2 linked regions of the Nothobranchius furzeri genome follow. The protein of the gene in region 2 purifies or fractionates together with the protein of the main gene of each other region. This does not show direct contact. Links are inferred from orthologs where the notes say so. Each region holds a gene or a part of one and is shown on either strand. Other genes may lie near its edges. The genes, in order: prkcq and ikbkb.

Region 1 (3,822 bases), on a different chromosome or scaffold from region 2:
AGCCGTCGACGCGTTCTGTTCTGTGGCGAAATCGAATCTTCTGTTGTTTTGATTGGCTGTGTCAGGTTGGAGGGAATTAAGGTTATTTAAGCGGTTCAGAGTTTAAAAAAGCGGTAGATATGATGTTTCACAAGGTGCTGCTAGAGTTATGTGAAGCCTCCCGTGTATCAGGTAATAAAAACGACAGCAACGCATTTCGCTGATTGCGGTCGTTTGTCGCCTCCCGTGTATCGAGCCCACAACCAGGTAGGTAGGTTTTAACGTTGCAAATCTGCAACGCCTGCCTCCAGAGGGTTAAGCAAACTTCCAGCTTCTCCTGGCATAACCCCGTATCGCATGCTGGGTACTGGGGGTAGGGGTTGTATCAACTAGCCGACTAGTCGACTTCACTGCTCTGTAGTGACTTTTTATGCCTTTCATAGACTAGTCGCTGTCACGTGATAATGACCGACAAGATGGAGTCCTCGGAAAAGGCAGCAGGTGATGTGCCCCTGCGCGTCGGTATCTGACGCCCGCCGTAAAACGGACATTTGACCGAATTGTGACCTTTACCCTCTTGCAATTTAACCTTTACCTCACCCCCATCCTAACCTTAACCTACGGTGGCCCTGAAGTGCAAACCACAAAAACAAATCACAAAACGCACAACAAAATGAAAAGCGCAAAAACAAATTCACTAAACGCAAAACCAAATTGAAAACCACAAAAACAAAAAACAAACCGGAAAAGGTAGGTACCAATGATGCAACAACAGGCATCACTGATTGAATGATGGATCCGTTGGCCTTTTGAACCGGAAGTTGTTCTGCCGAACGTGGTTATGTGAAAGAGCAGTCAGCGGGTGTGTCCGAATCCACAGGAAGGATGCTTGGAGTACGGGTCCTTGCCGGTCTAGCAAGGCCGGGTACTTGCCAGACCGCTAAGACCGGAACCCAGCGGCTCTGAATTCGGACAGTCTAGCCTTCACCTCTACGGTGGCCCGTAGGTCCCGTCACAGCCGTGGCGGCAACTAATGTAATGTAATGTAATGTAAATTGGACCTTAGAACTTATTTTGCATCAAATGGGGGTAAAACCCACCTTTCTCAGGGGCCTAGTGGTAGAGTGTCCGCCCTGAGACTGGGAGATCAGGGTTCGATTCCTGGTCGGGTCATACCAAAGACTTTGAAAAAATGGGACCCAATGCCTCCCTGCTTGACACTCAGCATTAAGGGGTTGGATTGGGGGCTTAAACCACCAAATAGTTCCCGAGCGCGGCTGTGTCTGCAGCTCACCGCTCCCCCAGGGGATGGTCAAATGCGGAGAATAAATTTCGCACACACACCTGTGTGTGTGACAACTAATGGGACTTTAACTTTAACTAGCAAGGACCCGGCCTTGCTAGACCGGCGAGGACCCGTACTCCAAGCATCCTTCCTGTGGATTCGGACACACCCGCTGACTGCTCTTTCACATAACCACGTTCGGCAGAACAACTTCCGGTTCAAAAGGCCAACGGATCCATCATCCAATCAGTGATGCCTGTTGTTGCATCATTGGTACCTACCTTTTCCGGTTTGTGTTTTGTTTTTGTGGTTTTCAATTTGGTTTTGCATTTAATGAATTTGTTGTTGCGCTTTTCAATTTGTTGTGCGTTTTGTGATTTGTTTTTGCATTAAGTGATTCGTTGTTGCGTGTTTCAATTTGTTGTTGCGGTAAATGATTTGTTTTTGTGGTTTGCACTTCAGGGCCACCGTATTAACTAGCTTGCGCAAGCAAAACTTTGTTTCGTGTTTCATCCTTCCTCTCAAACACGCTTAACGGAAAATTTAGACTAACATACTGAGTAAAGGTTAGGATGGGGTGAGGGGAAGGTTAAATAGCAAGAGGGTAAAGGTCACAATTCAGTGAAATCTCCGTTTTACCTCGGGCGCCAAAAAGCGAGCAGAGCAGAGCGTCGCCTCCCGACGCGCGTCGGAAAAAAACGCTTGGTCACCCATCGTCAGTTTTAGCCGCTTCAGGTGTATGACGTCATCAATGATTCGCCAAAGTCGACTAGATTTTCACTACTTGACTGTCGACTTTTCAAAAAATGAAGTCATGCAACCCCTACTGGTGGGCATTCTCGCTGACTGACAGCTCCGTCTTGTGATCCGCGATTCCAGATTCACGTAAATGATTCGTTCTGTAGAGCTGGATAAATAAAAATGATGAAAGGTTATCTACTCAGTACCATAAAGGAGGGGTAGATAATCAGATTTACTTTGAGTTACTTCATTTAAACCAGCTACCCCAGCTTTAATGGTACGTGTTAGGGTTTTAATATATTTCACTGTCTTAAATGTTCTTTTCTAAGTAATCGTGTTGTAAAGTAAGTCTCGGGGCTTTTTCCTTTCAGCCCTGCTCTGGTATGCTGATAAGGCATGTAGTTTGTCTTTGTGTGGGGTTGGTGGAATAATCTGCCCAGCAACAGGAATCCATAGTTTCTGAGTGACTCAGCAGTTTTCGGCTGTCGGCAGGCAACTCCATAAATTGAGACTTCCTTTTTGGAATGTCCCGCCTTAGCCTAGAAACAACACTGTTATTGGCTAGCGGAGACAGTGATGACTTGCTCTTTGTTCATTTTTCCTGTGTTTTAATTAAAACGCTGTGGTGGGGGGAGAGAGTTAGAGTGAGTCTGGCCGAGTTGCTATTCACACATCTTCCGCCTCTCTCTCCGCTGCAGCGTATAACCTTATTGATCCTTTCTCTTGTGTGGTTTATTTTAAGGATATAAAAATACCCAACGGTACGTAAAACCTGAGCTCAGCTGAAAGTGAAAGTGTCTCGTCAGCTTTTCCAGATATTTGTGTTTGTTTTTACCAGATCCTGTTGGGTCAGAAGTACAACAGCTCAGTGGACTGGTGGTCATTCGGCGTGCTGCTCTACGAGATGCTGACTGGTCAGTCTCCTTTCCACGGCTGCGACGAAGAGGAGCTGTTTCAGTCCATCCGAACAGATAATCCCGTTTATCCCAGCTGGCTGACTAAAGCAGCAAAGGACATTCTAGTCAAGGTAAAGGGCTGTGAGTTAAATAAGAAAAGTATAACAGCCCAATGAGAAGGCTAAAGAATAAATGCTGTAATATGTGTAGTTTTATCATTTATTCCCGTCTTCCCTTCGTGTCTGACACGGGTGCCCGGTGTGTAACGGGTGTGTCGTCCATCAGCTGTTTGTGAGGGAGCCTGAGGAGCGGCTGGGCGTGAAGGGCAACATCCGACATCACGGGTTCTTCAGCAGCGTCGACTGGAAGGCTGTGGAGCAACGGCAGGTGGCGCCGCCCTTTAAACCCACTTTGGTACGCAGAAAAACATCCTGTCTACTCCTTGCGTTTATCTCCAGTCAAGATGTGCTGCAGTTGTTTAGATCCCAACAATAAACATCTCGTCACTAACAAAACAACTTGAGAGCATTTCCAAGGAAAACTAAATAAATTCTTTAGAAATTGTCTAATTCCAGGAACGATATTATTGTGTCTGATCTGTGAAGCTGTTCAGACATGCAGGAAAGCCTTTCCTCCATCAGTGCATCCATCACCCAGGTTAGGGTGGTCTCTGACTAAACCACCATCACTGGTAGCGACCACACAGCCTAACGAGTTTCTCAGGAGGAAGTGAGGATGAGTGAGGTTTTTCATATGAGTAGAACATTTTAATTTTGCTGATCACATCAGTACACTTGTTTAGTTAGCCTAGGTCTTGGCAGCTTAGCGGACATCCTCCTTGCCACTCTTACACCTTAAGTCTGCGTGCAAACGATCAGCTGTTACTTTGTGTTCGCACCGAACCGGGCAAAAGGGCTTTTG
Region 2 (3,822 bases):
ATTTTTTCTATTTTCATGAAATAATCCATTGTTTGGAACAACACCCCCTTCACCACATTTTTAAGGATCTCGGGAGCTCTTTCATTGGGCGAATGTTAATGCCCTGGTGCTCCACTGAACGTTTTAGGAACTCTTTTATTCCAGCTGCAGTGCGTTTTTACAATGAGCATTTCGTATGATTGTATATTTGATATTTTTATCATGATTGTGGCTTATAGCAGTGACCAGTGAATGTTTTATTGTGTGGATGTGCATGTTGTGTTTACTTGTCCAAGGCAATTCAATTTCCCCCTGGGGGATTAATAAAGTCAACCTCGAACCTTGAACCTTGAACTGGTTTGGGTTTGCTGCGACGTACGTGGAGCGTGGCACTTTTATTCCAAGAGGGTGTTCATTTATTCAGAAATGAGGGTTACATTTGTCTTGCTTGTGATTAAATAAAAAACTAAATTGGCTTTAAGATGCCTTCCATTTGTACTTATTGCAATTATTTATAATTGAGGAGGAACGAATCATAAAAAAATTCGTAAATCAAATACAAAAAAATAAAATTGGAGATTTTATTTTTAGGTCGTATCGCCCAGCCCTAGTAACACACCATGAGATCCTGAGGAGGTAAAAAATGTGATTTTCTTTTAAAGAGCAAGTCAACCCCTACCAGAGTCTAACTCCACTCTCACTTCATGTTTGAAAAATGCAACACATGCTGTTGCCTGGCAGACCGAGAAGGCGGAGCCACTAACAAATACCCACACACACAGGCTCACGACAGCATTGTGACATCATAATGTACCAGTTTACATCATAGCATACCTCTTAGCCAATAGCGGTGGCAGATTTAAATTAAAATACAGTGCAGAGTTTTTACCTTACAACGGCACAACACTGCCAGTTTTAGGCAAAATATTTAAATTTTAACTAAGATGCACTGAAGTGCGAAATTAATCACTACATCTGTCTGCAGCACGATTAGACACTCGTTTATTTAGTTTATCAGCGAAAAAAAGCTTATTTGGGGGTGACTTGCTCTTTAAAGTTTTCTTCAATCTAACTGCTCTGTAAGGCAAGCAATTTGCTTTTGTTTTTCTCTTTTACATGTATAAATGTCTCTGCCTTCTAATAATGAACAACAACAGAAAAGTAAAAAAAAAACAAGAGTAAACATCAAGAAAAAATTACTTGAGGTTTTTTATTTTTAGTTTGTAAAATGTCCCATTTGTTTAAATCAAGGGGGCGGGACATAGCATTGCACGTTTTAGCCGTTGGCTAATGCAGATACAAATTCAATGCCTTGCATAGTTTCAAGCTGAAGATGGAACTAGACGTGACGTTTTTAGGCTGAATTTAGAGTTTTTAAAGAAAATGCACCAAAATGCAAAACGAATGACTACACCTGTCTACAGCATATTTGACACTCATTTATAGTTTATCAGCAAAAAAAGTTGATTTTGGTGTGACTTGCTCTTTAAAGCTTATACAGGAGTCAGCCACTAGAGGGCAGCTGTTCCTTTTAGTTTAAATCCTGTGTCTCTAAAAGCTGCAATAGCAAATTTGGAAAACATAGTGTAGCTACAGATATATTGTGGTGATAAATAAGCAACAAAAATACCTAATAAAGTGGTTCTCTCACATTTGTAATAAAACCTCCACCAATAACACGTTTTGGACCAAAGCAACCATTAGACCATCTGGTTGTCTGTCTCGCAGAACCTCCACATTCACCCTGAGTCCTTCACTTTTACACATTTGATAGTTTAGCAACAGAACACCACTGGTGTGAGAGGTTCATGGTTCAATAATATCAGAGGAGGAGAAACAGCCGGCTGCTACCGCTTCAACTTTAGAACAAACTACCAGAGGCCCAAAAAGAAAAACACCTTTTAAATCCACGGACAACAACAGACATTTGGACCTAGAACGCTAGCGACTGGTGTTTAGCACTATCTCAGTTGCTCTGACAACGCGGGTTTTCGGTTCCGGCAGAAGTACCTCAGGGGTGGGGTGAGTGTTCCGTGATCGGGTTTACCTTCAAAACCTAGCTTGTTCTGTAGATTCACTAAAGCAGCTTTAAAGAGCAAGTTGACCATGTTTTATTTGTTATTTTTGACACCCGTCACTATGAGTTTCACTCACAGCGTAAATGTGAAAATTGTTTTCTACACACAATTTGCTGCATTTGCCACTGATAGAAAATAGACGAGGAGATGCGCGGGTCAGAAAAAGCAACACAGATCTACATTAAATTGTCCGTTCATGGACTCATCCATCTCGGCTTGTGATTGCGGGAGGTTGTTTGGATTTAGTGTCCAGGGGAGAACAAATTGCCTCTTAGCTAGTAGACGCTAACCGTTAGCATTAGCAACTCCACAACAAGGCAGAACTCCTTTAGTCTTGTGTTATCTGTGGAGATAAATCATCAACATTGCAGAGTGAATGGAGGCAGTGGAAGAGTAGTGTTGCTGTTAACCAATCAATCAATCAATCAATCAAATTTTATTTCTAAAGCGCTTTTCAAACAAAGTGTGATTCAAAGTGCTTTACAAAATGACCCCAGATTCCCATAACAGGTTAAAAACATTAACAAACATATGCAAGCACACGCACACACAGACTCACACACACACAAGTAAAAATTATATTAGGCTGAGTCCAGATGAGCCAAGTATGGTGACGCAAGGAAACGCCATCAGAGGAGCCGTCTGCCCCGGCAGCATCAGGTCTTCCACACTAAGTCAGGGCGCTCAGTGGAGGGGGGGCATAGACCCCCACCTATAGAGCGCCCAGGAAGCTACAGTCGACCACCGCTCCCGGGGCAGAGGGCCCCCACAGAGGAAACACTGGATTAAAATGAGTAAAAATGTAATAAAAGAGCTAATATAAATGACAACAATTAGAAAATAAGTAATAAATAAAATGATATAGACAGTAAAATAATAATTTCAATAATAAAAGTGTGCTAAAGTATAATTATATAGAACATGCAAAGCAAGTAATAAAATATAATCATGTAAAACGAAAAATAAATCAGAAGCGAGATGTCTGAGTATCGTAAATATTAATGAGTAAGACACCAAACTGCTGTTTTCTGTTCCCACTCCTCCGGTTAACTTCTACTTCCTGAGAGTTTTTTACGAAAGGAAACGACTCATAAGGCATTCATTTATACTAGAGACCACAGCAAATGTATTGAATGAGAGGTTTAATGATTTTAGAAAAAAAAACAATTTTTTGTGTAAAACATTAGTAAGTTTCTACATCAGGTGATAGCATGAAGTGTTTTTCAGGAAGTTTTCACTTCGCTGATGTTGTGTCTTCTCTCAGGTTGGATCATGTTAACGTGGTCGCAGCCCGAGAAGTTCCCGAGGGGATGCAGCAACTCGTAGCCACCAATGATCTGCCGCTGATGGCCATGGAGTACTGTCAGGGCGGAGATTTGAGAAAGGTGTGGATGTTGGAGAACATGTGCATAAGCATGATTTGATTGGCTTGTTACCACAAGGGTTGAGTCTCTATTTTAGTTTTGAATTTATACTTTTGTCCACATTTCCCGTCAGATTTTATTACGTTTGTACTGAATACTTTCTAACGTTATGCTGGCGTTTACCACCTGTTCTCATGTTGATGATTTGTATAAATTCTTTTTAGTCCTTTGCACCATCCAGTTGTGACAATTTGAAAAGAAAGTCTGACTTAGATATGAACATTTGAAGTTTTAAAAGCTACTTTAAATTCATTAGGAAACTTCAGAGATTACAAACAATCCAGTAAAAGTGTTTTCTGCTCGAGTTTATGTTACTCAGATCGTAAACGTGTGTTTCTGCA

The links.
Region 1: the proteins of ikbkb (region 2) and prkcq purify together in Homo sapiens (affinity purification with western blotting; 4 studies listed by BioGRID). This does not show direct contact. The link is inferred for Nothobranchius furzeri from reciprocal best matches to the Homo sapiens genes IKBKB and PRKCQ.

Annotation. Positions count from the first base shown.
Region 1 is NC_091741.1:35,642,423-35,646,244, reverse strand, and holds part of prkcq (protein kinase C theta type), read left to right. Parts: intron 1-2,843; coding exon 2,844-3,032; intron 3,033-3,186; coding exon 3,187-3,315; intron 3,316-3,822. UniProt on the Homo sapiens protein: Calcium-independent, phospholipid- and diacylglycerol (DAG)-dependent serine/threonine-protein kinase that mediates non-redundant functions in T-cell receptor (TCR) signaling, including T-cells activation, proliferation, differentiation and survival, by mediating activation of multiple transcription factors such as NF-kappa-B, JUN, NFATC1 and NFATC2.
Region 2 is NC_091757.1:55,657,938-55,661,759, reverse strand, and holds part of ikbkb (inhibitor of nuclear factor kappa-B kinase subunit beta), read left to right. Parts: intron 1-3,321; coding exon 3,322-3,442; intron 3,443-3,822.